Linked DNA regions of Schizosaccharomyces pombe. The gene in region 4 interacts genetically with the main gene of each other region. Each region holds a gene or a part of one and is shown on either strand. Other genes may lie near its edges.

Region 1 (7,939 bases), on a different chromosome or scaffold from region 4:
GACATAATATTATGATGATCATCCAGTCACTAAGTGAGCTATATTTTAAGCTAATGCAATCAATTTTCTTCAAATGCATGAAATTTAAAGGTTTACCCCAACAATATAATGTTGTGTTCAGTTGTGATAATTGTAATCTTTAAAGTATAGCTCGGTTAAGTGCACCTTAATTTCATAAGATTATTATTAGGCCCATAAAATTTGACGAAAGTTTTCTCGGTATTAGTATTCCAAAAAAAAAAAAAAAGAAAAAAAAAAAAAAACAAGGAAGAAAGCAGAGTATCTTTAAAGTACTTTCTGAAATATAATGTATAAGAAACTGTTTTAGTTCATCAATTACTTGAAAAGACGATTTAGCATTTTCAATAACTCAAACCATCATATTCTATCTGTAAGTCATTGTCAGAATCAATTAAAAACTTTCAACGTCCTTCGTATAATATGAACATAGAGCTTTGTAATACGAATTGCTTAAATGGACAAGGAATTTTCGCGTTTGTAGAGAATACTGATGAAGGATAGAACATATGTAACTCAGTATAAAATTGTTCCCTTATCTCAACAACCATAAGAATTTATATAAGTACAAGCAAATGCATCTTCATTATTAACTTTGATCGCTATACTATTATTGCTCCGAGTATGCCATGGACGCATTTATACCATGTTTGAAAGAGATTCCCCAATAGCTTATAAGGAGATAGCTTTAGTTTTTGAAGAAGAATCAATCTGACAATGATTCCGTCCTTAAATTATTTGACAACAATTAATTTATATTATTAGCGTTAATCTCGTTCAGTAAGATTAATTTAAAATGATACATACCAAAAACGATAAAGGAGCATTTTTTTAATAATACGAATATCTTTCACTTAACCGTCTTATTAATATACTTAAATATGTGAGTTTATGAGGTTGACTCTGTGTTCTGGCACCAAGATGTACTAATTGGAACCATCAATCCTTTCCGCACCTACCTACATTTTATCGTTAACCCTCATTTTTTTAACAGTTTAACTTGTTAACTTGATTATTGGTTCGTTTTATAATTATTAAAACAATTATTAATTAAAAAAGAAAAAAATGAAGAATACTATTGTTCAACAACAACGCTTTCTCCAAAGCATCCACAAACCAACTTACTTGCAGGTAAGTTTTAAACGAAACTTGTTTTTAATTATGAAGAGAAAAAAGAACCTAATTGTTTAATATTTAGAGACCAGGTAGTTTTGCTCTTGTTTATCCTTACTACGCTGTTATGGCTGGTCTTGGTTTGTATTCCCTTTATGCCTCTGGAAGAGTCATTTTCGTATGTTATTACTCGATTTATACTATTTTTTTCTAACCTTTCAAAATTAGGGGAAGAAAGATGCTTTTTGAGGACATCCGAAGCATATTTTTATGTCAGGGAACTTCAAATTTCTATGATGCCTTTTCCTTCTATTTATCACCCCCTTCTTCTTGAATTAGTTTAGCTTTTCAATCACGAACTAATCGATTTCGTGTTTCTTTACGATTAAACTTATTTATGCAATACTTAAGTAGTTTAGTAGATGCCTTTTAAGGTTGTTTAGCTGCACATGTAACAGTAATTTAAATTTCATTAAATGTACAACATGATAAATCAGTTATTTTACCTTCTATGATGAAGCTTTTTGAATCGAAAATGGAGGGATAAAACACCATTGTCAAAACTGCTTTTAAACCCATGATCTCGTTTTGCACTGTAATCCCAATCTTTATCTACTATACTGAAGGCAATATCCTGATATGGTTCCCCAGCTATAAAACGTATAATGCAAACATCGTCTTGTAAATCAGTAGTGTCGCTTTTATTCTTCCTTCGTGTTCGTTCTATTCGATACGTTGGTGCACGGCCTGTACCTATTAAATCTGGATAAAAAACGTTAAAACGGTACCCTTGAACTGCTTTGGGAGGTGGGTGGGCTTCATTGAAATGTGCTTGATTATAAGAATTCCATTCAAACCCAAGCAAAACTCTATTAAAGTAGTGAGGCTTTTTCAAAGTAACCCCGTTTTCGTTAACAACACGGGTTTGCCCTTCTACATAGTCCCCAAGCATCTCTTGCTCCTCTGCATCATCGGATTGTAAGTATTCTCTTTCGAGTCGTGCCCTGTTGGCAATTGAAAATTCATCCTCGTTAATCAGATTACTGTTTTTCGGCAAAGTTGGCTTTTGTTTTTGGGTAGGTATCGATATTGGAATATAAGTGCTAGACTTTACAATATTGACATGATCATTCTAGAAAAGATTTTGGTTAGGACAAAAGATGGAAATCGTAATTTGGAAGAGAGTTAATATTATGAAAAACACAAATATCTTACCAATTCTTTTTCATAATCGGCTTGTTCTTCAGGTTGTATCCTGCGTGGTATCGCTTGAGCCCTCAAAATGGGCTTCGGGTCTATAGGGACAATATATAACTTCTCTTCACGATCCTTCATATTTGACAGTTTTTTGGCATCGGAAAAAGCTTTGTCCCATTCTTCATTATCAAGTTTATTTTTTCGAATTTGTAATTCTTCATTAAAAGTCTTTTTTAAATAAGCAATGGCCTTGTAAGATTTTAAAGAGTTTAGTAAATCAACCCAATAATCTGTATCGAGAGGGACATTGCTCTTCAATTTTTTTTGAATTTGTGCCTCAAGCTGTTCTAATTGTTCAAAAGATTTAGGGGCTAAAATCCTTTGTACTTCACCTGCTACGACCTTTAACCCTCTTGAAAATTGCCCAACTTTGTTATGTTCCATTCGAGAATTCACTAGCATTTTAACGTACTATAATGTATAATTTAGCACTTAAAGCATAAAAAATAATCCATACCTTCCAATAAGTTAGTCTACATTGGTTCGTTTCCAGCTGCTGAATATCACCAATATTTCTAGATATCTCCTCCAAATCTTCTGCTTTATAACTCTAAGTATGTTAATGATTAATCTGTTATAAAGTAAAAATAAAATAAGTCCCTTACTTGAATAACAGAGAGTGGATCAAACATGTCAACTGTTCCAAAATCAATTGAATTTTTTTCTCCATTCTCTTCCCATTCTGGGCCTGGCATCAAGTAAACGCTGACAAGAAGTTTATCTATAGGCTTAGAACGATCATTCTTAAGTCGAATAATAGCTCTTCGAAGCTGCTGTAAACGCAAAAATTCCCGTTCTTGCATTTCTTTCGTTTCCCTACTTCGCTCTTCCTCTTTCATAGCATCTCTCACTCTCGGCTAAAGGGAAGGTTAATTCAAAAACAACTAACATTTTCCTACTTACTAAATTATAATTTGCTCTTGCATTTTGATTTGAAGGTCGAAATGAACGAGGTGAAGAAGATCTCGAAGCATGCCTTTTTTCAGGTCTACTTCTGTTGAAATCGCGAGTTGAATCACGAAATGCCATAGTAATATATTTAAATTCAATGCCTTAAATACCAATATTGCTGTATGAAGGGTGCTTTCCAACAGAAGAGAATCCAATTGCTTTTTTTTTATTTGAAACAACTCAATGAGTAGGTTAAGTTTTTTTTTTTGAAATTTGAAACGTAGAGCTTTGTTATTTGATAAATGAACTTAAGGTAATCAATTACTTAGCAATAATAAGACTTATCCAACAATAGTAAAATTTATGGTTATGGCAAAGGTGAAATTTTATTGCATATTCGAATGCTTAGTAGGTAGTTCTAATTTGACGCTTGGTGGTTTGAAAGAAATTGAGCGGTAATGTTATAGCACGAAAAACCCCTAATTCATTATAGTTGCTATTGGTAAAAGTCTCAACGATATCGACTAAAAGGTGAAGTAAAACTCAGTATTTAGTACCTAACGAATATAGGAATACCCAATATAAAATATAGAATATAATTTTGTTTATAGCGCTCACTAGTCCTCTGCTTTCAAACTAATCAGATATTTAGGCCATCAGTTAATTGGCAATAAAGTAGCTAGTGCAGCAGTTGTGGTGTTTATAGAAGTGCTAGAAGAATATATACACTTATTTGATGTTCTATTGCAATTATAGGTGAAAATGATTTAAATTTGTCGGACGATTTATTAAAGTGTGATAAAAGTAAAGCAAAGCAAGAATCTTGCCAGGCATGTGTACATTATAAGTTACAAACCAAACGATAGCGATTCAGTTCAATCATCGAATTTAGTTGCCTTTTATAATAATAAAAATACTGTAAAAGCATCTATGATACTGAGATAGCATTATACACAACTAGTGAAAATGAAAAGGTAAAACAGTATTTCAACTCGATTTTAATCGTAACTACCTGTATTTGTGTTTATTGTCAAAATATGTAAATAATGTAATTGTTTACATCTTTTATTGCCATAACAACCATTCAAAACAAAGTGCGTTACTTGACTAAGAAATGTAACTTGGCAAATGCCAAACAGTCAACATTGAAGCGCACTCAAAAAACGCGTTTCTCGCTCTTTTCTACTGTTACATCTATTTTAATAGTGATCTTCGATATAAATTGCTTTTATTCAAGAAGGTTATTGGAATTGTTGTTTGCGAGTGCCCTTCTTTTCATCTGTTTTGGATGATTGCTTGCATGGAAATTTTGCTTTTCAATGTCAAGACAGTCGTCCATTACCGTTACAGGTTAGTCTTTAATGTGATGTTTTTTAAATTCATATCTTTTTGCTAACATAAAATAGTCCGTGTTCGCCCATTTAGTACAGCTGAATCTGCAAATTTAATTGCATCCTCAGATCGTTTATCATTTGGAACATCTTCTTCCTTAAGGAACCCTGGTTCAGGACGTCAAATTCGACGAGTAGTAAAGGTACTTGATGGACGTGTCTTGGTATTTGATCCCCCGGATGAAACAACGGCTACTTTGAGTGCCACAAACCGCAGACTTTCTACTTCTCAACAGAGTCTCGCTAGATTATCTAGAAAGTCAAACAATTCTGCGGGATTTGGCCGTGATCTTCGTTATGCTTTTGATAGGGTTTTTGATGAAACTGCTACTCAGCAACAGGTGTATGAGAGAACTGCCAGGCCGTTATTAGACAATATTTTGGATGGATTCAATGCTACTATCTTTGCATATGGAGCAACTGGATGTGGTAAAACTCACACCATTAGTGGAACAATGCAAGATCCTGGTTTAATATATTTGACACTAAAAGAACTTTTTGAGAGAATGGATCATTTAAGAGATGAAAAAATTTTTGACCTTCGCCTTTCCTATTTGGAAATTTATAATGAAACTATTCGTGATTTATTAGTATCACCGACCCCAAATCAAGCAAAGCCATTAAATTTACGGGAAGATGCAGACCGTCGCATTACTGTACCAGGTCTTACTTCTTTGTCTCCAGAATCTTTGGAAGAAATCATTGATATTATCATGAAGGGAAATGCTAATCGTACTATGTCTCCGACAGAAGCTAACGCTGCTTCATCTCGTTCGCATGCTGTATTGCAGGTTACGTTGATCCAAAAACCTCGTACAGCTGGCATCAATGAGGACCACACTTTGGCCACTTTATCAATTATTGACTTGGCTGGCTCAGAACGTGCAACAGCTACCAAATTAAGAGGTAGTCGTCTTTTTGAAGGTGCTAATATTAATAAATCTCTTTTAGCCCTAGGAAATTGTATCAATGCCCTTTGTGATCCCCATCGCCGTGCGCATGTCCCCTATCGTGATTCTAAACTTACTCGCTTACTTAAGTTTAGTTTAGGCGGAAATTGTCGGACAGTTATGATTGTTTGCGTATCTCCGTCTTCTGTTCATTACGAAGAAACTCACAATACTCTAAAATATGCTAATCGAGCAAAGAATATCAAAACCGAAGTGTTAAGGAACATGATCAGTGTAGATCGACATGTAAGCCAATATGTAAAAGCAATCGTTGAGTTACGTGAGCAAATTTCAGAGTTGGAGAATCGTCTCGCACAGATCGATTTGTCATCGCAATCAAATGGTTCTGATCAGGACGCTGTAACTCAATCTTTTGCTCATGAATCGAAGCTTGCAGAAGCCAGAAATTTATTGCGTATGACATTTGAGGAGACTTTACCACTGCAAAATGATACTATTAATAAGGTAGAAAAGGTGAAACATTTTGATGATTCAATTCGCGTACTTAAGTACTGGTTATCCTGCTATGAGCGAATACTTCCGAATTCCGCAGATGAACGAGTATTTTTAGTTCGTTCAAAGTTAGAATCATTGTTAACTCGTCGTGCAGAGATCATTGCTGATATAGATCCTGAACTTGTATACCAAAAGTTTCAGAGAAGTGTTTCTCACATTATCAACACATACAAACAAGAAGGTGCTACCATGTACGCTGATGTGTTACAGGATGAAGTTGACTTGCTAAAATCAATTATTGAGAATCAGGTTCTAGATGCTCAGAATAAAGTTGATGAGTTCACTCCTGTTTTAGAATCCCTTCTTAGAAGTTCTTTCAAAGCTAGTTCATTGCTAAAAGAGGGAGGTATGCAAGAGCTATTCTCGATACTGGAAAAGTGGTTGTTGGGCATTGGTCTTGGCGAGAAACCTAATATATCTGTCTTATCAGAAAGTTATAAGCTCAACTCAACATCCGATGATTCACGAACTATCAATCGTGATAGAGTTCATAGTTTTCCCACTCAACCCTTGCTTAATAATAACTTGCCTCGAATGTTTTTCGTGAAGTCTCCAAAAAAACCAGTTGTATTTTCAAAACGTTCTCCAAAAAAGAGGGTTCGTTTCGACGATTCAATGTCTACGTCTGACTCAGGTGCCTCCGCGTATAACTCACCCATTCAAACCTCTAAGTTAAAGAACATGAACTTCTTTAATACTATGCATATGCCTTCAACTCCTGCACATAAACGGCCTGAAAATAAGAATCAGATAGATGTTGAAATTAATCTTACTTCGCCTGTCTCCCCGATGTTGGAAGATAAACCAGAACCTGGACTTTTGATAAAAAGTCCTTTGGAGAAAAAGCAAGAAGTTAATAGTGAATCCACACAGCTTGATCAACTGCTGGCCGAGGACTCGTCAACTGACGATGTTTCTTTACCTCATCTGGACACTATTGATCTGGATGGTAGTCCAGTCCCAAAAGTTCCTGATTTGAATTTTTCCAGAGCCAATATGGACTCACCAACATTCATCCTCAACAATGAAGCTATTCACAACTTTGATTTTTCTAAACCGAAGACTCGACAAAGCCTCAGTTCATTGACTACTCTTCATCTTTCAAATCCAGCTAACATTATTAGGAAATCTTTAAGCATGGCTGAAAACGAAGAAGAGAAAGCCACCTAAAGGTCCGTATATTCAAATACGAATCCTCTAAATATCCTGTTGGGTATATTTAAAAAAAAAAAACGGATAAGCTTGATGATATGAATTTTTAATGAATTAATAACTTATTAGATTATATATTTATAAACCCTAAAATTCTCTTAGTAAACTTGCACAATTCGTTCGTAATGCACTATCAAATACAAGCGTACATATATGTCTGCCACCTCCAATGTACATAATTTTGTTTTTTTCTACCTAAGCAAAACACAATTGACTTGAAAAAAAAATAAGTACTATAAATGCAATTTATTAACTTTAATTAAATTTTTCCTAAATATCCTTATACACGACTAGTAAAGACGCTTTTCGTATGTAGCAAAACCTTGGATATCACCTTCACGGATGGCAGCGCTCGAACGTAACTCGAAGCGAACTTCATGCTTGTCGACAGCTTCATGAAGCTCATCAAGAGATTTGGTACCAATATCTTGAAGAGCGTGTTGCAAACCAGTGTAGAGATAAGGTAAAAAGCGAAGAAGCGAGCCCTTGTCGACGACCAAACCAGAGACACCTTGGGCAACACGGACAGCATCGTTTTCAGAGAAATAGCGGCCAGTAGAAGCATTCTTATTAACACCAGTACCTTCCATT
Region 2 (7,067 bases), on a different chromosome or scaffold from region 4:
GATGATAAAACTTTATTTAAAGAAACCTAAACCAAAACTTTAAATATAAATTTAAGCGGAAGGAGCATCTGACGCGCGAACCTGAGACATAATTTTGATCATATCTCCAAGAACACCGGCAGCGGTCACAGCAGCTCCAGCACCGGCACCAATAACTACCAAAGGACGAGTATGGTAGCGTTTAGTGGTAAAGGATATAATGTTGTCAGACGATTGAAGGTTAGCGAACGGATGAGAAGCGTCGTACTTTTCAAGTTTGACAAGAGTGGTCTTGTTAGCAACGTCAGCCTCACCAACAAAACGGACAACCTTGCCTTCCTTCTCAGCTTCTTCGCGCATGCTAGCAAATTCTGAATCAAAGTTAGGTAATCCAGCTAAAAACTCTTCAGCATTTACAGCACTCTTCAAAGGTTCAGGAATGAGCGATTTAACAGGGAATGAGCTAGCTGACTCGACATGAACACCAGCAATACGAGACAAGATGGTGACTTTACGAGCGACATCCATGCCATTCAAGTCATCACGAGGGTCAGGCTCGGTATAGCCATTTTGTTTGGCAATTTTGACGATATCAGAGAATGAGGCAGTTCCTTTCTTGCCGTTAGGAGACCAAACGTTGAAGATGTAAGACAGAGTGCCAGAAAAGATACCTTCAATCTTTATGATTTCATCACCAGTAGCGATAAGTTCTTTTAATGTGGAGATAATTGGCAAACCAGCACCAACAGAAGCCTCGTGCATCAATAAAGCACCGCTCTCCTTGCTAGCCTTGATAATGTTTTGATAGACATCATTACTAGCAGAGAATGCTTTCTTGTTGGGAGTAGCAATGTTGATTTTCTTGCTCAAAAATTTAGGATAAGATTGAGCGATTGCTTCAGAGGCAGTGTTATCGACCAAAATGGCGGGAAGGGGGGACTTGGCAAGGAAATCTACCAAAGCATCTAATGAATAAGCACCTTGGTTCTGAGAAGTAAGGTTCTTCCATTCAGACAAATTAATGGGCTGATAATCCTTGGAGACGTAGTGACCTTCCATACTAGAAATGGCAACAACGTTAAAAGAGGTAGTGCCATTGGTAGAAGCGTTTTCATTAAAACCCTTAATTTGGTTTAAGAGTTCACCGCCGATGTTTCCTGTACCTATTTATTTTTAAGTGATTAGCTTTCGCTTTACAAAACATTCAAGCATTCAATTTATTGTGTGCTTACCAACAATAGCAACGTTAACGTTAGTTCTGCTAGCTGACATTTTCAAATAGTGGGTGGGAGAGGTAGAGATGCTACGACGTTGGGTCGGATTACGAAAAGCAGTGACAAGGGTTTTCTCAAAGGAAACTTTGGAAGAGGTGATATACGAATTGATAATTTTGTTGTAGGGAAATAAAATTTTAGAAAGTGTAGATAATTTAGGGAGATTTAAATTTTTTCCATGTCTAAATATTGTCATACCAAACATTTTTTAGAAGAGTTTATTTTATACCCAAAAATGAGTTTTCAACCAAGGAAGGATCTTTCTCTCTGATTGATATCAAAGTTTTGCAGGTATATTTGTTGTGAACAAAATGTGAGCGACATTATATTAATCGAGTCAGAACATATTTGTAATAATACTCAAAAGCGCAAAATCTATTACTGTAGCAATAATGATGTTGATTTCGTTTGATACAAATTTTATTTAATTTGATTTTGTTTTATTGAAGCTCCGCTAAATAAACTTAGCTAGAAATCTAGTATAGAAGCCGATTTATATAAATTAATCACAAATTATAAATATAACGCATTAAATTTCATATATGGGATTCAATGGCATACAATCATATATTTACTTTTACAATTAATAAAAACCACTTAATCAACTTATGTGATTTATTAGTGTTTATCGACTCGTGAAAAAAAATATTTAATTTTTTGCTTCGTAAATTAAATTATATGCTGCTAAGTGTCTAAATAAATCACATTCCATCCATCAAATTTGCTTTTTTATTATTAAAAAAAAAAAAAAAAAAAAAAAAAAAAGAGATTTTTGAAGAGAAAAGTCTAGGGTTCAAGAAAATGAAAAACTGTAATGAAACCAATCTGACTATATAATTTGTTAATTATATATGCATATTATTATGATTAGCAAACTCAAATCATAAGCAGGTGCAGCTTTTTCAATTTAAAAGTTCAGATAACATACATTAAATTATTTATTTATTTTCTAAATCAAGCTTAGAAGAAAATAAAATATTATGATAAAATACTGCGAAATTAAAATGTTCTGAATATACCATTTTAAATTCTAATGAAGTTTTCTTGCAAAACAATAAACCGATATTATCTTGAAGTAGGTTGCTATCTCTTAAAATATTTAAATTATTCTTCACCTTTTATTAATAAAGAAAATTGAATCAATTTGCTAGACAATTTGTAGAGCAGCAAGATTTAGAGGGTTGTTTAAAATCAACAATTAATATAAGAAAAGAATTCCAAAGTAATTTAATTATAGGTTTATATACGTTTTTTTAATGTAGTAGTGATTATAGAAACTAGGAATATAGGAAAGTAGGCACATATTATGCATCAAGCTCGTTGTACACCCACCACCCAACCATTCAACTACCTACTACATACAACTCACTCCAGTTTCCTACTGTTAGCCATAACCTTTATTTCTGAGTTAGCAGCAAATATTGCTTTTAAACGGTTTGCCGACTGAATACCGTTCTCCGTCCGTCTTACTTTTCCTCGGAACACTTTACTTGGAAGAAAAATCGTCGAAATTCGGTCGAGTAAAAAATTAATCACAGACCCAAAAATTTGACTTCATAAGTGTCAAAAGCGGTTATATTGGATACCTGTAAAATGTCGAACCCAGATGTGGATTTGGATTCCATTATCGACCGCTTGTTAGAAGGTGAGTGGGGAAAAGCAGACTTGATCATGATGAAGGGTTGAGTTTAGACAAATTTTTGAAAGGAAATTGAAATCAGTTGTTGTTTAATACAATAATTTACATGAAGAAACTGGAAACGACTCTATGTAAATGTTCATTCAACTGTTCATAAAATTTGAGGAAAACCCAGGAAAAAGGGAAAGTTTTTTCTTTGAAAACGTTTAGAAAGCATTTTCTTTGATTCTTGGTCTCATTTGTGATGACACTTGCTTTATATACATAATCACGCATATTTGTATTCAAATGCGATTGCATATTGGCATATATCGTGTTTCTGTGTGAATGATTTTTCTAACCAATACTTCCATCCTTAATTTTACCATTTAAACCATTTAGCTATTTACTAACTTCTTTTAGTCCGTGGTAGTCGTCCAGGTAGACAGGTTCAATTATCTGAAGATGAAATACGATTTTTATGTAACAAAGCACGTGAAATATTTATTAGTCAACCTATCCTTCTAGAGCTTGAAGCTCCTTTGAAAATTTGTGGAGATATTCATGGCCAATATTACGATCTTCTTCGACTTTTTGAGTACGGAGGATTCCCTCCAGAAGCCAACTATCTGTTTCTAGGTGATTATGTTGACAGAGGAAAACAAAGCTTGGAAGTAATTTGTCTTTTGCTCGCTTATAAAATCAAGTACCCCGAAAATTTTTTTATTTTACGTGGAAATCATGAATGCGCCAGTATTAATCGTATCTATGGATTTTACGATGAATGTAAGCGCCGTTATAACATTAAGTTATGGAAAACATTTACAGATTGCTTCAACTGCCTTCCTATAGCAGCTATCATTGATGAAAAAATTTTTACTATGCATGGAGGTCTTTCGCCAGATTTGAACTCTATGGACCAGATCCAAAGAATCATGCGACCGACCGATGTCCCTGATACTGGGTTACTCTGTGATTTACTTTGGTCTGATCCTGACAAGGATCTTACAGGCTGGGGTGATAATGATAGAGGTGTTTCTTTCACGTTTGGACCTGATGTTGTCTCTCGGTTTTTGCACAAACACGATATGGATCTTGTTTGCCGAGCCCATCAGGTTGTGGAAGACGGTTATGAGTTCTTCTCTAAACGTCAGCTAGTCACATTGTTCAGTGCACCTAATTACTGTGGCGAGTTTGATAATGCAGGTGCGATGATGAGTGTTGACGAGAGCTTGTTGTGCAGTTTCCAGATTTTGAAACCGGCTGAAAAAAAACAACGCTACGGATACCAAGGTTCAAGTCAAAATTGGCACATGACTCCACCTCGGAAGAATAAGACAGGAAATTCAAAGTAATTTAAGCTCAATCCAATTTCTCCCATTCTTTTTTGTTGGTTTCATTTTCCACAAGCAACAATTCGACGATAATACCGCTTTATGTAGCTGTTTGAACGGATTTCTTTTCGTCATTTCTCAATGGTCGATGATTAATTGTTCATGAAATAACTGAATGTTCTTTTAAGAAATTATTTTTTGCACTACCATTTCATTATTCATTTTCTTTCTTTTCCGTCAATTGTTAGATGTATATAGACTATTGCCTTTTATTTTTCATCATCTAAATTCCCTTTTTTAACAAAATCTGACGCTTAAAAGACGGATGTTTTTACCGAGCAATAGTTGTTTGAACTACTTTATACTTCTTATCTTCGAGAGAGTGCTTAACGTTGATGATGGCATTTTCCGCTGCAAGCTTCTGTTTGCTATCGGTGGAATCCTTTATAATGACCATTGACAATTTTGTTTAAAGGTCTTTCATTTCAATTATGTATACTGGTCTCACGTTGGAAAATAATTTGCCTATTTAGTTATTGTTTATACTACTATGCAATCAAATTTCCTTTTCAGTGATGCTATTTTATGGTAGTTCACACGTTTATATACAGTAGGCTTATACAATGTTTCGGCATTCCTTGGGATTTGATAATATAAAGCCACCGTTTAATCGTAAGAGAGAGTAAGGTGCTTATTATCATTACAGCTATTTACCGGCGAGTTAGCAGAGTACTCACTAACAAGTCTATGAACACAATAATAATATTAAGAAATTCAGATTTATACTGCTGCTAAGGTACTATCAATTAATAGAAAATTTGTACCACCCAATTCTTGACTAAATTCGGTGAAGATTAGCCGAAAGTTAGCCAATATGTATAAGGGCGAATCATCAGTCTAGCACGAAAAACAAGTTCAACCGCAATTAATCTCACGGGTAATTTTGTTAAAAAGTGCAATGATACAATTTACTTTAGATTAACAGAACGTCACAGCTATTCATATACATCCAGTAAGAGCTTACTCTACGCATTCGCTTTAAATTTAACCGGCAGACTACCTTTATTTTTAGAAGCACAAATCAAACGAGATTCTCATTTTAGAAATCCAAAATTTTTAAAACGTTGAATTATGCCATTTATGTAGAAACCAAACTAAGACAACTAATTCCAAGCATTTTAAGCAGAGGCCTTAGCTTGACGAATAGCTTCGACGGTACCACGGTTGGCAAACTTTTGGTTGCGGCGGAACTTAGCATCACGGTACTTAAGAGAATCGTAACGGTGCTTTTGAGGACGCTTAATACCGTTACGGTGAGCCTTCTTGTTTTGGTTGTGCTAAGCTCAGTTAGTATTAACATTCATTCAACAATCTACAAAGACAAACTCACATTAGTATGATTCTTCGACTTGGCCATTTTGGTTCCTGGATAGGTGAAAGAGGATTATGCAAAGCAAAATATTGTTTCAAAAAAAGCAGTCACGTTTACAAGTTTCTGTAGCGTAGTTTACTAAAGCGAATACCGATATCGTCGGTATTACATTAAATTATGAATGATAACTTCGGCGAGTTCCCATTGCATTGGTGCTGTGTGTATGCATAATTGCTAAATAATCGTGTAGTTGAAATGTTTTTGAGCACTTTTGTGTAAAACATAACGATGAAGGAAAGTGAAGTACTGGAATGTTAATAAAATAAAATGGTAATAAATAAAAAAATGATCAAATAAACGCTTACTCTGTAATTTATGTTGTATTCCAAGTTATAAATTAAAACAACTAACAAGCTATCGTAGCAATTACAGGATAACGCAAAACATGATCTATGTTTATGACTAGTACTTCAATTTGTTTGATGCTCGGCGCGGAAAAATGAAAGCTCGATGCATTGATTTTAAAAATATTGGTAGATTCTTAAAACCACAATCATAGTTTTTTTTTTTTTTTTTTTTCGTTTCGTCTGATCAATGTGCAAAGTATGCACTTTCTTCTATTTTTACTACACATTTCAACATCCAAACAATTTTGCACTATAATAATTATAACACAGTTGTATTGTTGTCAGCCATACCTAGGCGAAAACACCGGTTCCCGTCTGCAGCTAAGCGTCTGATGGCTTTGTTAGTACCATCGTAGGAGACAATATGGGAATCCCGGGTGCTGTAGGCTATTTTTCTCATTATTGCATACTAATGTTAAATAACGGTGTCGTAAACGTTTTGGCTATGCATCCATAGGTACTGTAGTTAATATTCTAAATAAAAGACATCATTCAAAAGTCCATGTACTGATGATATCTACAAATAATCTCATAAGTATAAATAAATAATACACTTTTAAACGATTGTCTTAATATATTACGAGATGATTTTGTGAAAGACGTTTATGCTACTTTGAAATGGATATCTCAGGATTTTCTCAAAATAGAAAGGTCATAGCAATGTATAAAGGAAAACATGCGAGTCATTAGGCGTCTTGTGACCTTGGAATAATTTTGCCTAGTCAAAATTGTGGAACAGTATATATTTTGACCGGTAAGTGTTATTTTTTCTAAAAGGATTTTACCACTCGGATTCATCGATAGAAGTTTCCTTATGTGACATAAAAATGCACAAGAGTGCCAACTTTGAGGATTCCGAAGAATTAAAATAAAAAATTTGTAATAGCAAAAGACAAGGCTGAAAAGTTGATCCAAATAGACTTCCAATTTAACATTGCTCAATTTTATAGATCATTACTCCGAACCCTCAGCACCAGAAGCACCTTCTTCATCAGAAGATTCTGCATTTTCATCATATTCTTCAGCAACATCGCTTTCACTTTCAGCTTGAAAATCTTCGTCTTCTGATAGTGCTTCTTCCAT
Region 3 (9,356 bases), 440 kb from region 4:
CTTTTTCCGATAGTTTTAGTAGCTGTGTAAATGTAAACTCATTGATCACGGAGTTTTTTGTACAACTGTTAATCTGAAAAAAATTCTAGAGCACAGAAAACTCAAAATTGCTTACTACACACCTATCATTCAGATATGTTCAAATGTTCTATTACTATCAGTTTCAAAGCATGGATTGCGAAATTTACAAGGTATAATATCTAATGAGTGTGCTCATGAGATGGATGCGAATGTTCACCAGAAGACCCATTTAAGTGTTGCCATCTATGAACCTGATTAGAGTCAGAGGAAAGTGGTGTCACGATACAACTGGAAAGGGCAGGGATAGCATCCAAAACAGTCTTTTCTACCTTTTGTGCCAATTCGGACGACTGTTGAGATGTGAAGGATGGAGGAACAGATATTATCACATGCATGGCATGTGCATTTCCTAATATAGTAACGATTTTATATGGAAGCTTTTCTCCCTTCAATAAAGCATCAGTTACTGCGATACGTAACTCTTCGGAAGGTGCTCGGTCCAAAAGCTGCAAGAAGGCCTTTTTAGAAGAGTTGAAGCCGGCACTAAAAACGACAATACTTACTAAACAACCAAAAAACGGATCTAGCCATGGAGCATTAAGAAAGTAAGTGCCGGATAAAGCAAGCAGTGAAACCATTCCCGTCAATGCATCTGCTCTATGATGCCAGGCATTGGCTAGTAAGATATTTGAATCTGTTTTTTGAGCCACCGTTCTCGCTAAATATACTATTAGAATCCAATAATAGGTGAAATTACTTACTTTTTCGGAAGAGCCATTCTTTAAGAACAACACTACCAAATATAAGGCCAAGTGCCATAAAGGGGTGTTCAAACAATAGTTGAGAAGGATTATGAGAATGACCAATGTGCGTGTGTTCTGAACCAGCGTATGGGAATAGTATAGTATACAATCTCGATAACGATGAATGAGCAATGCCTACAGATACAGCCACCAATAAACCAGATACGGTGAATGTACCTATGGTTTCCCATTTGCCAAAACCGGCAGGGTACTTTTGTGTGGGCTTCTTGCTACATATTTTCAAGGTAGCCAATGTTACCAAGTCCGAAAGTGTATCTCCTAATTGATGAGCAGCATCGGCGACAAGAATGCTAGATTGTAGAGCAACTCCGCCGATACCTTTGGCGGCTGCTAAGCCTATATTGCTGTATCTATAAAAAGTGTTAATAGTCAAGAATATCTATAATAAAGGGAAGAAATTGTCAAAAGATCTGTCGTAGAACGAAAGCATAAGAGAGTACCAGTTTAAAAATGGTCTCATTAAATATCATGAGTTATTTAGCTAACTTTAGGGCTACAGTTCCTTTGTTGCCGCTATGCTCCGAATTGATAAGAAAAGATGACTTTCTTTTTTTCTTTTCCATACTTACAATCCTAACCACGCAAGTTTCAGCTCTGGAGATTTCCCTTCTTTTTTCAAAGCTTTAACAAGCTCTAACATTTCTTTGTCCGATCCATGGTCATGGGTATGAGTGTGAGAGCCAACACTATGCATTCTTACAGCATTCCGAATTTCAAAGCCAGATTTCTCGTGCAATCTGCTGCACAATGTCGGTAGAAAACGCGGCATCGCTCGACATGAGCGCGCTGACGAATTGAACGTTTTCAGCATAGTGAGTTTTGTACTGTTAATTCAAGAAAAGGGATATCTATATATAAAACAAAACTTCTAAAGAAGTAAATATGTAGAAAACCTGGAAATTAGGGCTCAACCGGCTGTCTGTGAACTTTCGATTGCGGATGCAATCTATTTTTAAGTGTATTAATATTTTTATCAGAAATTGCAGACGAGGTTCAGGAACTTTGACTTACTTAATTAAACTGTGTTCAAAAATAAAAAATGGATAACTTAATAATCCGAGCGAAGCCTAAAAATCTAAAAAACCTCCTATTTCAATTCTGCAAAATTTGAGCTTGCAAACTCATAATTTTGTAAGCAGCGTCTGACTTTCAATTATAAAAATCTAAATATCCGTCCAATTCTCTTAAATTAGTTAAGATCTTTGTTTTGTTTAGGATCGGTCTCTTCTATCGATTGTGTATATATGTATCTAGGAGAACGTAAGATGTCGATCCCGTACTTATCAGATCAATGTGAAACTTTACTACACCAGATTTGCACATCCGAGAATCTTTTAATTATGGATAGTTTATTTATATATTAACTAAACACTTTATTTTGTAGCGCATTACGGGTTTAACAAAAAGATTTATAATTTCATTATCAGTCAAGATCTACCATTATTATTTCACCAATATTAAATAGCATAAAATATATACATTTTCTTTAGTAACATGTGAATTAACGAAAACGAATGAACTAGTATACAACAAGGATAAATGATATTTCCAAGCGTTAAGCACAAAATGAATATTGGGAAAGGAAGTCGCTTCGGCGCAGCATAGCTAATCATTCCCATTAATATCTAGCTGTATTTGTTCCAAACAGTAAGACAAGCAGACGAAAGGGCATAAGTTGATGTACAATGCACCACTTCCGAAAGAGTATTCAAAACCTCACTAACATAAGAGTCTCCTTCACTTTCCGCATACATCTGTTTCACAGCGACTGATGTAGAAGCATAAAACTTTCCTACTTCAGTAGTTTGGTAGATAGTATCAATTGGGAGACCGAAAACAACCTTTACCTTAGATGATACCGAACGCAGGTATAGCTCAACATTTATGATAATAGACTTATCATCATTTTCAACTGACAAAAAGGGCCAATGGTACCATAATCGCTGGAAATCTTGGACAAGATAAACAATTTGTTCCCAACAAATTGAAACATCGTTAAGATACTTCTTCAGAAGACGTAAGTTCCTAGAAAATACCTTGGAATGCCATTTAGAAAACGACGATGCAACATGCTCGAGCACATTTGAGCTGCAAGCATTACTTTCGTTAGGGAACTTACAGGCAATATCAACGTTAACTTGGAAATTTTGCCTCAAAATCTCAACCGTAACCTCGGCTGAATAAGGAGAAAGAGCAGTGTTATTTGTAGCTAATTTAATTCCGCCCGCGGTCAAAGAAACTATGGTCCAGCCAAGTTCATTTTTAAGATTTAACAACTGCTCCTCGTATCGCTTAATTTCGTCAAATTCAAAATCTTGGTTTTTCGCATAAAAATCTTGTTCAGCGTTGGTACGTAATTCCAAATCAGAGCAAGAGTTTGTCACTTGTTCTATCTTTATTGCCAACTCCTTTCTTCTTTCTTCTTTTTCACTCAGAAGCCGACGTCTCCTCTCAACCTCAACCTTGAGTTTCTCTAACTTTTCTTGCGCCTGCGCTAGAAGAGTTGAGTCATACTGATTTGCAAATTCCTTCTGCTTCTTTAATGTCTGTACTGTAGTAATACTACCATTGTATCTCTCTTGAATTTCCTGCGCATACGGATGAATAACATTCGCGACATCCATTAAATGGGTCAAGCTTCTTTGCATCCCAGTTAAATTTAAATTTAATTCATGTTTGATTCCTTGCATCAAACCCTCACGCCATTCGTACCAATCACCTTTTGCTTGAAGTCTAGCAAAAGTTTTCATCATTAAAAATTGTGAATCCATTAAAACCCTCATATCACTGGATGCTTTCCTATACTCATAGAATAGTAACGGGTTCTCTTTCAAAGTTTCCTCTTCAATTTTAGTAACAAAATCCTTCCCTTCGGCAATATAATCCTGTAATTGCTGACAACTAAATTTGTATAACTCTAACAAAGGGAATTGTATGTAAAAAGATTCCAAAAGTTCTTGGATACTGCATTTCTTATTTTCTTCAGCATTTGGCAATAGGGTTTCTCGTCTTTTAGCAATAGTAAGATTATCCAAAAATTCAATTCCGGTCATTTTAAGAAAATCTGATAGGCTTATCGGCTCGACGTTTGGTAGAGTTGGCATCGTATCAAATTCTGGCTCATTACCAACAGGTATTTCTTCATTTGGACCAGAGTCTTGATTCAAAATGTTCGTGTTAATAGTCGAAGCGCCCAACGATGTATCAACATTGCTCACACCTTTTGATAATTTGACGGGTGACTTCTCATGTTCATTCATGCCCACGGAAGTTGTATTACCTGCATTTGACGAACCAACTTGAACAAGTTCATTCCGGTTGGGTTCCTGAGATTCCAATCGCTCCAAACTAGTTGAATCGGCGTAATCTGCAGTTGTTATACGCTCTTTTTCATCCTCATTCGAAGGTTGTTGAGGAAGCTTAACAGAAGAAGTCGTATTAGTTGGAACGTGCTTAATTTCGTTAGTCTGTTGAATTGTTAGTCGCTCTGTTTTACTCAATCCAGAATCAACATCTGCATTAGACACTTGTTCGCCTTTGTCATCAGTGGGTTGCCTTGAAACTTCTTCAGGAAGACTTGAAAGCGGCTTTTCTGTGGTGAATGGCTTCTCTGCGGTAAGTGGAGTAGCTCCTAGACGATAATTTTCGGATCGCTCAACCGATTTATAGAGACCAGAATTTACTTTTTTTTCGAAAAAGTTAACCGGTAGAAGTTCTCTGTCATTCAAAGTTGAAATTGATTTTCGAGCATTACGGATTGTTGCAAGACGATTGCGACGCAAGGTACTTTGATCAAAACTTGAAGTGCTATATCTTAAGCGTCTTTTCCGAGTACCAAGCTTATCAGTAGGAGTCGCTACCACATGTCTACTTGGAGAAGAAGAGTTAGGATCTTTCGAAAATTTTAGATTATTGTTCCCATTTGGTGACCGTTCATGGTTGGTAAAGGAGGTAGTATTGAAATTTTCTGACTTATCACTATATGAGGGTATTTCTTCTCTCTCGGCATTTTCCTTGTCTGCTGAAGGTAACTCAACATTGTTTCCACGGATTTGAAAAGCCACTGTTTCGTCCATAGCAGCTTCTTCCACCTCAAGATGAGATGTAGAATTCTCACAAGGAAAAACTGTTGAGGTTAATTCCATTGGTTGCTCTTCGGAAAGTGCTTCTTTAGAAGGGGATAATATATTGAAAGGTCTAGTAATGTCCATAAAGTCCTCACTGTCGGGAATGGGCTTTGAAGAATTGGCAGTCTTGTTATTATCCTTTCTCGGTTTTGAAGAAGAGGATATATTTGAGGTAAATTGATTTAAATCATCTTCATTCAAATGGGTGGGTGCATTTGTAGAGCTAATGGGTTGTGTCAAGTCCATTATTTGCTCTTCCATGGATCGTGACGATGGACGAATGGGGGAAAGGAGAGTTAAATGTGAGTTTTCGATATTAAAGGCGGAGGTGGTATCCATTTCTTCTTCTCCATTAGTTAAATCGTTCGGAGAATGATTAGTTAAGTGAGGATTAGCATTAATTGGTCGGGTAAGGTTCATAGGCGCTTCTTCTAAGTTTTGTAAATCTAAGCCATTGGAAAAATGAGACACTGGAGATAAATTAATGTTATTAGAGGTAATATCCATGTCAACAATAGCTTCTTGGGAAGTTAAAGGGCGAGCGATGGGGGAAAAGTGTTGCGGAATTTCAATAGGTCGAGTTAGCATCATATCTTCTTCTTCTTCTTTATTTTCCGACTGATCGTGATTTTCGTTATTTTTGGAGAAATCCGAAATTTCAATACTAGTTGGACTAGATGATTTGTTAGGGGATGAAAGTTGAGTTTGGTTTGAAGGGTCATGAGAAGCTTTTAAACTATAAACAGTACCTTGCTCGCTAGAGCTAAGACCTTTAATTGATTCGGAATGTGATAAAAACGAATCTGCTTCTTGGAATTGGATAGTCAAATCCATGTTAGTTTCCTCTCTATCATTAACCTGCTCTCTCGTGGCATCGTGAACATCAAGTGCCTTTTCTGCTTCAGGTAAGGCTTTTGTTGGATTCTGGATACTTAAATCATCATTCTCCGGATACAGAGAAGGAGGCGGATGGCCAGCATTCAATGCCTCAGAGACCATATCTGATTCGGTTGACCGAATAGGGGACGCAATGTCCATATCACTACCGTCTGAAATAATCGAGGCACTATGACTATGGGGAGATGATTGTGTTTCGTTTCTCGAAAAACTTGTCGTTGTTGGACCTTTAGGGGAATGGTTTTTAGCATCAGATGCAAAAGTTCGCTCAGGTGTGCTGTGATTAGATGTCGACTTTTCCGAGTCACTCTGGTGATCTTTAGGATACCAACGTACACGTGCATGACTAGCAAAGGAAACTCTTCTGTTCAAACTTTTTCTAGACGTCTCACGCGACAATTGCTGTAGGTCTTCCATTTGAAGTCTCTTTGACGCAGCCATAACATTACTAGAGATTCCAATGACCGTGTTATTTATTTGTGTGTGTATATCATTAAAGTCTTCATCTCCTGTGAAAGCGGGATCTACGGAAAAGGATGAATAACTCTTTAGAATGCCTTTTGCTGGATTTGTGTGTTCTTTAAGTTCTTGAAGCGCACCAGGTCCTCCAAGCGAGTGTGGACGCTTCCTACTTTTGTTTCTTCCTATAACATTATCGGTCGTCGCTATACTATTGCGACGAGGCGATGTTGGCATCGTCAAGTTAAACAAAGCACGTCGACACACGAACTTTGTTGTTTTTAGATTAAGACGAACATAAGAAATTGTAATGATAGTTCGTTAAATTTATGGCGGTGAGTTTCTTTTTGCGGCCTAGAACGCCTTTCGTTGTATTATTTAAGGAGTCTGTAAGCCTTTTTAGGATACGGTAGACTACGATGATGCTTTCTGTAATCATTCCTGTTAGCTAATCTGAATAAATAATGAATAAAGATCCTATTTGTAAAAGTTCCAATGAACAATATGACTGTTGTTCATTCTTATCATTAACAAATTGTATAAAGTAAAGGTAAATTGGGGGTACTTTTGTTCAACTGGGTCTATTTGTAATATTGGGTTTTCTGTAAACAATAAGGTAATGAGCATCACAAGCATATGCGCACTGTGATGGAGGAATACAAACTTCAAAAAGGTATAGATATCTAAGATTCACTTGAATGTTTTGTCAAATGAGCCGCACTGTTCTTTTGGCATAATTTAATGGATTAACTTGAAAGCAATGTGCGGTTGTAAGAAGTATAAGTAAATTGTAGCGAGGTTGTTATAAATTATTATTTCGCAAATTGTATATTATAATAATACTCGTGAATATTCCTTTAAAGGAGTGTGTTTATTTAATATCATTCCAGCGGCTTATAATCAATAATCGAGAAAAAAACTGTTTATTGTTAGTATTTCTATAATTTGATGGATATTGCCATGAACTTACAACCACATGTAATTCTATGTTCTACTTTCCATTGAGGTTCTCGTAACCTGTTCCATCATTGTTTACTATTCAAAAGTGGTTATAAAAGGTTACCGGCTAAGCAAATATAAGCTAGCTCATTCTGAACTATTTCCTGTTCATTTCCATGGTTATACTTAGCCATAGTGAAATTGACCAGACATTAATTCGTGTACTTTTCCTTTTACGATGATATATTGATCACAAATAGAAATTATAAATCCTTTTAAGTCAGATTACGATTGCGTTGCTAAGACCTGAAATTGATATATTATGTACTATAATCCATATGTGTTATTAACAACACTAATGCTTTCAAATCACAGTAAAGCTTAGTAACATAACTAGCATTTGTACAACATTTAAATGAGTAAAAAAAAAACAAGTATGGCTGAGCTCGCTTGTCTTAATATTTTTTATTAGAATGATAAATCATATACCACGATTAGGATTTCTTTGAAGAATGGAAATACAAAAGGACGTAAAATGTTTATATTCGGCACAGGAAGGATAGCGTTGTATAAACGAATGATAATTGTTCAGTATTTCAAACAAGTAAGGCTTTTGTCATCAATACTAACATTCTTTTTTTTTTTTTAAATCCGGGAAATTGACAATTCTTACAATTGGATATTTGTAAATCCCGTGTATCCCGTAGTATGGTATGATATTCTATTCGTTGCATTTGGTATAAGCCTTCAAATACGAGCAGACTTGGTTAGCCCAATATCATTCTCCCATTTGGATTTAGTCAATGTTACGATATAAATGGTCACAAATCTCCGGTATCGTAATGTTATCCAGTTTCAAACGACATAACATGTTTCAATTTAATAATGACTTATTAATAGTTGCATAACTACTGTATTTCACTAGAATCCTTTACTTAGCATAATGTGTGTGACATGATAAAAAGGGCGTCAGACATCTTCTCTGAGGAAGATTTGATAAAAATAGAAAAAGTATTGTCTATACAGCAGTCCAGGCTTGTCCTTTAACAATTGCAAAAATATAGATTATTCCACAATTCATTTAGCATACTAACTTTACTTAAAAGGGGCCAAACTAATGCTTCAAATTGCAAGGATTAGCCAAAATTGTGCCAAAAAAAAAAGAAAAAAACACACAATAAGACAAGTATTTCTTCGTTACAACACTAAATAATGAAATCCCAAGAATCACGAAGTTTTCTATGAGTGCTCCATCATAAATATTCTCTAAACAAGTGGACTTAATGTATCCAAACATAAACAAATACAGAAATCACACCCATTAAATATTTTATGTAACGATCCGCTTAATAATAAAATTGTAAATTTATAAAAATAAAAAAATAAAACCACGCAGTATTCAATAATATTTATCTCCGGGTACAATGAAGCTCCTAGTAAATATAAAAGACAATTGCAAATTCAGGTAATCGACCGGTAATTTTTACACAATAATGAAAGCATTGTTACGAGACTGACCTATAAGATGGTATTATTACTAAATGAGTCTGCAACCACGCCTATATTAGGTCAAAAAGCAAACCAAGGGAGAAATGAAGTCAATAATACGCATAGGAGACGAATATAAGCTGTGAGCTAACCAAACCGCAATAAGAGGCTTACAATTGTTCCCCGCATGATTTTTTGAAGCTTTTACTATAAAAAGGAGTCCTTCGTAACGGCTGGCGACTTACTAATTGTCATCCAATTCAAACAAATTTTGTCAGTCTTTTATACACAACAATAGAGCCAATTCCAGTTCTTTTACCTTTTCATCCTCACCAATCTTTTGCGCATAGTCGTTTTAATAACCTTTGACTAATATGCAACGAAATAACGGCGAAGGGCGACCTGAGGGTATGCATAGAATTAGCCGCTTTTTACACGGCAATCCTTTCAAGAATAATGCTTCTCCTCAAGATGATTCAACCACAAGGACAGAAGTTTATGAGGAAGGGGGAGTGGAAGACTCCGCCGTCGATTATGATAACGCTTCAGGAAACGCAGCTCCACGTTTAACTGCCGCACCTAACACTCATGCTCAGCAAGC
Region 4 (8,459 bases):
CCCGATTCGTTCAATGACGGTGGAGCTATATAAGGTGGTTAGTAAAATTCTCGACAAAATTAAACAGTAGGAGGTTTTAGGCGAAAAGTCAGTCAATTTTCAATGACACTATTTTACATTCCTCTCTGATATTTTAAACAATAATCTACTTACGCCACAGGCTTCGCAGAGCTTCCAAATTTGGAAGTTCCGGAATGGACTTTGATGACCTAGAAGTAGAGAAGTTTGTGTTTGACATTCAAATTTCTTTTATGTGTGATAAAAAGTATAATCTTTTTTTTTTGAAATCCTCTTTAAAATGCTAAAAATTTGTAAATTGAGTAACGGAAAATGAGTTGAAGCCAGAAGATTGTGATAAATATTAAATTAAGTTAATAAATATTCACCAAAATCCCTTGCTTTATATTTTTTTTACAAAAAAAAATAAAGAGAGAACCAAAAAAACCCCCCAAAAAACAAAATTGCTGGTCAATACACTAACTGAATTTATATCAACCACTATCGTTTACTTTAAAAGTCTTGCCGAGTAGAGAAATAAAAAAGCAAGAACTAGCAAGATAGATATACTCTTGAAAGAATAGCGGTAAGTCAAGTGAAGACCAAGCCCCAAAAAAAAGAAAAAAAAATATGTTTAGCCCAAAAATCACCAATTATAGCTTTTCACTTTCTTCAAAAGTTAGCTATTTCCCGTCAACTTTCAAAATAATGTTTGAATGTTTAATAAAACACTTTATTATAGGGTTTACTAGTAGCCTCCTTAGTGTTGGATTTCTGGAAGAAGGCAAGGTGCAGATAATCGTGAGAGAGTAATTTGATTACGGGTAATAACGAATACGAAGTACTTTGATAAAACAAATGAATATGAAAACCATCAATTACTGAGTAAATAAAAAAATTTCTATTTTAAAAGAGTTTTACTTTTTAATAAGTATTCCTTGTAAATTCACATTTCTTACAAATTTGTTCGGCAGATTCAAAAAATGCCCCGTGGCACAGAGAGATACTCAAAAGAAAGATTCTTTTTTAAGATTAAAAAAACAAAAAATTGCTCTGAGTGTAAATAGTGAATGGTCAAATGTCGACTAGTCGTTTCCATATTTACCATCAACATTATAAAGTAAATATTTGATTTGTAAATTAAAATACAGTCGACTAAAGTGTGGATAAAATGGCTAATACACAATACCAATGCTTTGACAGACAGAAAAGTAAGAGATCAAACCTACTGTTACCAGGGAAGAAGCGATGTAGCGACAAAGTCGAAATGCTGTTTGTGGTTCTTAAGCAATACGAAATTGTATAATATTATTACTAATATAAAGTAATCATAAAGGGATTCCAACATAAGACAACTAAAAATATATGAGGAGGTAGAAACACTTTACTAGTTTAAGTGGTTCAAGAAGCGTTCATCATTGTTCAGATTACGAGCAAAAGAATTATGGAGAAGGAGCTAAATACTTGAGATCTTCAAATATCTTATGAGTATAGCGATAAAGCTCCTCAACAAAGGCATCATCATGAGCGCGATGAAGAATACCACGCTGAGCAATTGCAGTGAAGTAAGCGCCGTTCAAGTGCTCTTTGGAAATCTCGGGACTGGTTGCAGCATATAAGGAAGTCATGGCGCCTCTGATTGGATCCAAAAGTAAATACTGGAAGACTGATTTCTCTAACAATTTGAGAGCAAAGGTAGGTGAGTAACGAGTCAGCTCGGTACGGATAACACCTGGGTGTAGACTAACGGAATATATTCCATATTTTTCTAAACGTTTGGCTAAAGCAATGGAATAAAGGATCTGGGCATACTTAGATTGTCCATAACGAGCAAAAGTACCCAAAAGTACATGCGGGAGATTTAGGTCAGGGAAGTAGATACCAGAATAAGGGGCCTGCAAATATGCAATGCTTGCGACGTGAACTATTCTAACATCGCCAGGTCGACATTCTTCTGCAGTACGACGGAGTGTGGGGAGCAAGAGCTCAGTGAACAAGTAATGTGAAAGGTAGTTGGTTTGAATCTGAAGTTCATAACCATCTTTAGTCAATTCAAAGGGAGGGTTCATGATACCAGCATTATTGACCAATATGTGTAATTTCTCTTCTTTGGCAATGAAAGACTCAGCTGCTTGGTACACGCTTTCGAAGTCTAACAAATCCAAACGAAGAAAACGGATCTTGGAATGTCTAACTTCATCGTGGATCTGTTTCATAACTTTTTGATACTTTTCCTCGTTCCTACCAGCCAGATAGACCTTTGCGCCTTTTCTAGCCAACTCGAGGGCAGTTACATAACCAATGCCACCTGAAGATCCTGTGACAAGAGCGACTTTACCCGTAAGATCGGGAATATCGTTAAAGGTCCATTTGGGTGTATTGAGACCGGTGTACTCTTTGAGAGTATTTACAATTGCGCTCTCATTCACGCGGTTGAGCAATCCCTGAAAACTGTAGGACATCGTAAAGAAATTTTTGAAGCTAATATCAATTAAAAAAAAAGAACTTTATAAACAATGAGCGGGGAGGATTTTATTGCAAAGAAGTGGCCAGAGAACAAACTTATTACCAATGTCTTTAACTCGAAACTGTAGCGATTATGAAATCAATCGATCAAGTTTGGAACAGATTCAAGAATAAATCAACAATTTTCTTTTAATAAGCGTTCTTAAGTTCTAGAAAACACTTAAATATCGTTCTCGTCGAATATGTTGAATATGGGTAAGGGTGGCTGCAGATGATAAGTTGCAAAGAGTGACGATAGCGGAAGAGGAAGCAATTCGTAATTTATACAATGACCGCTGACAAATTTCTTCAAAATCCAAGAAACTCAAGGCGTAACACGGCTTCTTTGCGGACCGAAAATTTGATCAAGCATGGTATTACATCGACTAGCTACTTTTGACTACTTGGCTTACAAAACGAAATATGGATTGTTTAGAATTGAATGTATGAATTGGGTGCTCGACAGAATATTGGAATCCTTTTAAAAATGTATAACTTGAACTTATTGTAATTGAAGAACTCGAATTCAGATTGGGCAAATGAAAGATAAAATTAGACTTAGGTATGAATAGAAACGAAAACTTAAAAATCTGCAATCTATAGGATTCCCTTCTTTAAACGAGTTAAACGTCATGTTTTATTCAGTAAGAGTCTTAGAAATTCATTTTTTCACTTATACTAGATCACAAGCATCTTACAGAGCCACCCAATAGCACATTAATCGGTTTCAAAAAGCAACTTGCATAAGGCTTAATATATCGGTGAACATTCCATTTGGGTGCTCATCTTCTGTTAGCATCATTTTGGTACGGTTTAAGATAAAGTTATTTATTTAAAGAATTAAATTACTCTAAAAACTTAAAATTATTGATGGTTTCCTCTTTTTCTCTGCTTTATTTACATTTTGCTCTAATAGTGTAATCTTGCGCTCGTTCATATTCAACAATACGATGGTCTAACGAATTGTGCTAACTCTACGGTGCTGGCTGTGTGAGTGAAACATTGTCGTCCGTAAAGTTAGTCGTCTCTATTTACACATGTACAACTCCAATTTCAGAGCCATACTCATTACTGTTTAGAATCCCGTCCGTTTCATTCGTTTTCATTTTTCTATTTGTCTATAAAATTCATTCTTTTACATAACTATTCATGCTCTGCTGGTTGTAAACATACGAGTCGTTAATTTATATTTGTTTATGTAAATGGAGTTGGACGATTTTAATAGCCGCATTCTCAGTCAAATTTTTGATAAGGTAAGCTTTTTACAAATTAATGGAGATAGAAGCTTGCTGTCCAGAAAAATGTAACTGGAATGAAAAGCAAACAAATGGAAATATCGTTGCAACGGCATTAAGGGCACTGTTGATCAATTCCATTGTATTTTACGATTTCAATTAGTTTTACTCATTGCTTTGTGTTTCCGTCACTACTCTTTTCATACCTGTTCTCCCTAGTATTGATGGATCTCACTTCTGTAGTGGGTTATTTTAAGTTTTTAGGTTTCTAACTGATTTATTTAGTCTTGGAAAGTTCGATTTGAAGCATATGAGTCTTTGTTGCATGCATTGAACCGAGCATTGGATGATTCAGACGTTTGTTTCCAGCCTTGGATTCATGACCCAGCATTATGGAAACAAGGGCTGTGTGATAGTAACGTACCAACACAAGAGCATGCCGTAAAATCTCTGCGATGCTTTTTAGACAAGTCTAGGCAAAAAGGAGTTAATTCTGCCAAATCGTTCGTTGTTGCTCCTCTACTCGAAAAATGTTTACCATCTCCTAGACAATCTATCCGTGATGCTTCTCACCAGGCTTTACTCATTTTAGCTAAATCCGATGCGCTGGACTATGTATTAGAAGGGTTATTTTCGGCGGCTCGCGTTAAGCATCCCAAGCAGGCAGTTGCTTCTATAAAAGAATTAAATAGTTTATTGGAGAATTTTGGAATCCCTGCACTTTCTCCTATTCCATTCTATAAACTGATTCCTACTTTGTTCGCCCAATCAGATAAGAATATCAGGCAAGAAGCTTCGAATCTATCCATAACCTTGTACGCTTGGGTTGGTAATGCATTCAAGACTCATGTGTTTCCTCAACTAAAGCAAATACAGGTCTCCGATCTTGAGGCCTCTTTTCAAAATGTTACATCTCGCACGACCACGGGAGGACATATTTCAAATTCCCTCAACACCCAAGAGGTGGTTCTTCCTTCTTTTTCATCGAATGCCAAACCCAAACCACATTTGTCCTCAAAGTCATCTTCGCAGGGAAACACTCTGCAACGCTCTACTTCTAGTTTCAGTACTCCTAACCGAAAGGTCTCACAACCTTCTGATTTTTCAGCATCTCCTTCCCGTTCCATTGTATCTCCTGCCAAAAACATTGTCGGAAGTACGCCCGTTGATGTTCTTTCCAAACTAACCCCAGAATTCCATACCGCATTATCTTCTCCCAAGTGGAAAGATCGAAAGGAAGCGTTGGAAAGCATGGTACCGGTGTGTTCCAATCCTGTTTATCAAGAGGGTGACTATAGTGAGTTACTTCGAGTGATTGCAAAGTCTCTAAAAGATGCAAACGTGGTGGTAGTGGGTGTAGCGGCTTTATTATTGACGCATATTGCCAAGGCGCTAAGGAAGGGCTTTCTTCCGTATACTGGTATTGTATTGCCTTCTTTATTTGATAGGTTTAAAGAGAGAAAATCGAGTTTGGTGCACTCTTTGCTGGATGCGGCCAATGCTATTTTTGAGAGCTGTGGGTTGAATGATATAATGGATGAGACGTTAGAATTTTTGAAGCATAAAAATCCACAAGTAAAAACTGAGACACTTCGATGGCTGAATCGTTGCCTACAATTGACGGATGTTTGTCCGCCTCGAGCATCGCTTGAAACGCTATGTAGCCTATGTGTGACATTGATCAACGATACGTTTGAGCCAGTCCGAATGGCTACCACAAATGTATTGGCAACACTTGTGCAAATTTTTAGTCAGCCAGTGTTGTCCAAGTATATTGTGGGATTGGATCCTAAAAAGTTACCAAAAATATTAGAACTTTCCAAGGACATTACGGTGAATGCGCATCCGAATCAACCCTCACGTCCCAGGCTGCCACGAGTGGCCTCTCCTTTAAAGACATCACCGGTTAAACTGGCTGTTACACCACAAGCACCTTCACCATTACCATCCTCGAATCCATCACAGGCGAGTTTGACAGAAGAATCTCTATCTACACGATCTTCGCCTACGAAACCATCGACGACGTCTTTGCGTAGTCAATCGTTGGTGAATAGATTTGCAAGTTCTACATTGAAAGCGCCATCATCCTCTTCAAAGGGAGTTTCGAATGCGGCGTCGTCAAAACAATCGTTTCCGTCATCCCCTTCGATTTCGAAAAAGTTAGAGACTAGTCGACTTTCCACGAAGAAGTTACCGGGATCAACGATGAAAGCAGCGTCGGCGCTCAAAGAATACCCACAGCAACAGTCTATGAAAAGTGGAGGAGAAAAGCAGGACAATTTGGTTACGATTACAATGTCGGAAAAAGTGGAGCTGGATTTGTTGAGAGAAGAAAAAGCCATTCGACAAGTTCAGGAAGCGGAAGATGCATTGGAGCGAGAACGGTTGTTTCGAGAGATCAATGATTTGCAAATTCAGAATGCAGAAATGAAAGAACAGGTGTATGAGAAAGAGTCTACGATATCGCAAAAGGAGGTGGAGATTACGAGTTTAAGGAATGAGAAGGATCGATTGAGTACACGATTGCAGCAAGTATTGTTAGAGTTGGAGAAGCAGCATGAGACGAATGAAGAAGCGATGGATATTGATTTAAAAGTTCCCGAGAGTGGAGCGATAGGGAGGGTGACGACAAGGGCGACAGCAACGACAGCAATGGACGAAAGTGGTAACGCTGGGATGGTATCGAGTGGTATTCATTCTGTGTCGACAAAGCCAAGTTCGTATGGGACACGGCGTTCGCTGGCAGGATCAATGTTACAAAAGCCGACGCAATTTTCGAGGCCGTCGTTTATGTTTTCACCAGAGGCACGAGACAACTGGAGGGAGAGTCATGATTTGTCAAGTCATTTGTGGGAGCAAATCCAAAGGATGAAGAAGGCGTAGTGCCCGGCGATGCATCCGAAAGTATGACTGATTAGGGCATGCTGGATTTAGCAAAGACGAAGAAAGGCAAATCGAGCGTCGTTTTTACGTGTTGTAAGAGAGGTCGTCAGTTTGGTGAATGCACAAGCGTGGAAATGCTGGTAGAGTTTTTTGTTGGAGTGTTTGTTAAAGTCGATTAGGTAGAGTTGAAATCACTCAATTTGTATTTCTAATTAAAGTCGATCATTTTGTAATGCTAATTGAAACGGTCAAGAAAGAAATCAGAGTTTTGGATAGATGAATAGGAAAATGTAGAAAAAGAAGAAAAGAAAAGAAAAAGAAGAATTCACGAGAAGAGAAGAAAAGAAAAAAGACAAATCACAAGAAGAAAAAGAATTCACGGGAAAAAGACAACTGCAACTTTTTTTCTGCGCTCCATTTGCCAATTCAACAAAGCGCGTCCCCTGTGCGCATTGCCAAACAAATACCACTAGCTTTAGGCTTGATCCTAGGATTAGCGAACAACGGGGGTACAGTGTAGTTTGGCGTAGTATGGAATAAGTAGGAACGAGTTTGTAGGTTTCCACGTTAAATGCAAAGTACGAAAGAGCTTTTCCACTGATAGATAAACGATGCATAAGGTTATACAGCACGTTATAAGGTATTGCACTATGCATTTTAAAGCAGCGCAGCAATTCGTTCCTTGCAAGATGGGCAAATAAAAACTACGAGGTGATAACAAAACGGTGTATTACTTTGCGAAAGCGAACGTACTGTATTACATTGTTAGTTAGTGTATTACGTTGTAAAATAATGCATTACATTGTAAAATAGTGCATTACATTGCACCTACTGAAATGCCTTGCATTCTGCTACATTTACGTGGTAGCTTACTGTACTACATTGCACTCTACTGCACTGCTTGGCACCCTCTTAACTGTCTGTCCTGCTGCGCACTGCCTTTGCGCACCTTTCCCATACCTCGGCTATATGAGACACTAACTTTATCCAATAGACGATCGCTTCTTGCGGCGTTTGGTTATCGTGCGCGCGCACCGTAGGGAAAGGAGGGAAGCAAGGCAGCGGCGGCAGAGCAGGAGTCTAGTACAGTAAGGCAGCGAGGAGGGAAAAGAAGATTTCCCATATGTCGGGAAGAGAGATTTGAGAGAGGGAGAGAAGTACGGACGGTCGGAGGAGCAGGAGAGAGAAGAAGAGCCATGAAAAAGGAAGTGAAAGTAGAAGGGAACTAGTAGGAAAATAGTAGGGAAATAATAGAGGTATTCTTTTGTTTATTTCGTTTAATTTTATTTTATTTCGTTTTATTTTATTTCGAGTATTCTTTTGTTTATTTATTTTCTTTCGTTTTATTTTATTTCCTTTTGTCGCTCTTTTTTCTCTCTTCTCGTCGCTACTCTAGCATTTCTAGCTATTATCAGTACATCGCCATGCCATGTGCCATGCAATGTTATGCTATGCTATGCCATGCCATGCCCGTTACACTCCCGTGTTCCATTTGGTGCTCCATTCCCGTATTGCCAAAGATAGATATTTCCGTATTCACTCGATCCTCTTCATCTTCCGAATAAACTGATAAAATTGTTGCAAGTATCTAATACTCATTCATAGTCAGCGTCGGCATTTTCTTAAACTCGTTTACAATCATTTCTTCTGAATTCATCTAATTTCTTCTGAACTCATTTCATCTTTCTTTTCTTCATTCTTACTACACTCATATCCCGTTTCACTCACAACTCACTTCTTCACAATATCACTCACTCTCTTTCGCTACTTCTTTTCTCTCTCTCACTTTTCCATTTCTTGTCACCTCGTTCCTTGTTACCTACCCTTGTTGCCTCTAAC

What was found.
Region 1: mutations in dis1 (region 4) and klp5 are lethal when combined (synthetic lethality), as found in Schizosaccharomyces pombe (3 studies listed by BioGRID, with this or other methods).
Region 2: mutations in dis1 (region 4) and dis2 are lethal when combined (synthetic lethality), as found in Schizosaccharomyces pombe (2 studies listed by BioGRID).
Region 3: mutations in dis1 (region 4) and spc7 are lethal when combined (synthetic lethality), as found in Schizosaccharomyces pombe (2 studies listed by BioGRID).

Annotation. Positions count from the first base shown.
Region 1 is NC_003423.3:1,708,581-1,716,519, reverse strand, and holds klp5 (kinesin-8 family plus-end directed microtubule motor Klp5), read left to right. Parts: upstream 1-4,402; 5' UTR 4,403-4,598; coding exon 4,599-4,629; exon of another isoform or gene 4,630-4,685; coding exon 4,686-7,306; 3' UTR 7,307-7,439; downstream 7,440-7,939. Other genes in the region: cytochrome c oxidase subunit VII Cox7, read left to right, coding at 1,084-1,149, 1,217-1,309, 1,360-1,380; cay1 (cactin), read right to left, coding at 1,634-2,263, 2,347-2,799, 2,846-2,938, 2,994-3,245, 3,292-3,417; IMP dehydrogenase Gua1, read right to left, coding at 7,639-7,939. UniProt on the Schizosaccharomyces pombe protein: Has a role in establishing metaphase during mitosis. Required for chromosome segregation where it generates tension during kinetochore capturing.
Region 2 is NC_003423.3:3,170,878-3,177,944, reverse strand, and holds dis2 (serine/threonine protein phosphatase PP1 catalytic subunit Dis2), read left to right. Parts: upstream 1-2,846; coding exon 2,847-2,898; exon of another isoform or gene 2,899-2,966; intron 2,967-3,247; exon of another isoform or gene 3,248-3,294; coding exon 3,295-4,226; 3' UTR 4,227-4,780; downstream 4,781-7,067. Other genes in the region: hom6 (homoserine dehydrogenase), read right to left, coding at 52-1,142, 1,212-1,251; rpl29 (60S ribosomal protein L29), read right to left, coding at 5,384-5,542, 5,596-5,622; histone H2A-H2B chaperone, FACT complex subunit Pob3, read right to left, coding at 6,939-7,067. UniProt on the Schizosaccharomyces pombe protein: Essential role in cell cycle control. PP1 is perhaps required for exit from mitosis.
Region 3 is NC_003421.2:784,050-793,405, forward strand, and holds spc7 (outer kinetochore KNL network protein, KNL-1 family member, blinkin, Spc7), read right to left. Parts: upstream 6,612-9,356; 5' UTR 6,566-6,611; coding exon 2,471-6,565; 3' UTR 2,240-2,470; downstream 1-2,239. Other genes in the region: mmt1 (mitochondrial iron ion transporter), read right to left, coding at 201-739, 783-1,195, 1,415-1,656; P3-type proton ATPase Pma2, read left to right, coding at 9,130-9,356. UniProt on the Schizosaccharomyces pombe protein: Acts as a component of the outer kinetochore KNL1 complex that serves as a docking point for spindle assembly checkpoint components and mediates microtubule-kinetochore interactions.
Region 4 is NC_003421.2:339,330-347,788, forward strand, and holds dis1 (TOG/XMAP215 microtubule plus end tracking polymerase Dis1), read left to right. Parts: upstream 1-3,535; 5' UTR 3,536-3,704; coding exon 3,705-3,755; exon of another isoform or gene 3,756-4,022; coding exon 4,023-6,620; 3' UTR 6,621-6,913; downstream 6,914-8,459. Other genes in the region: YTH family RNA-binding protein Mmi1, read right to left, coding at 1-25, 154-238; SPOM_SPCC736.13 (dehydrogenase), read right to left, coding at 1,440-2,459. UniProt on the Schizosaccharomyces pombe protein: Has a role in sister chromatid separation.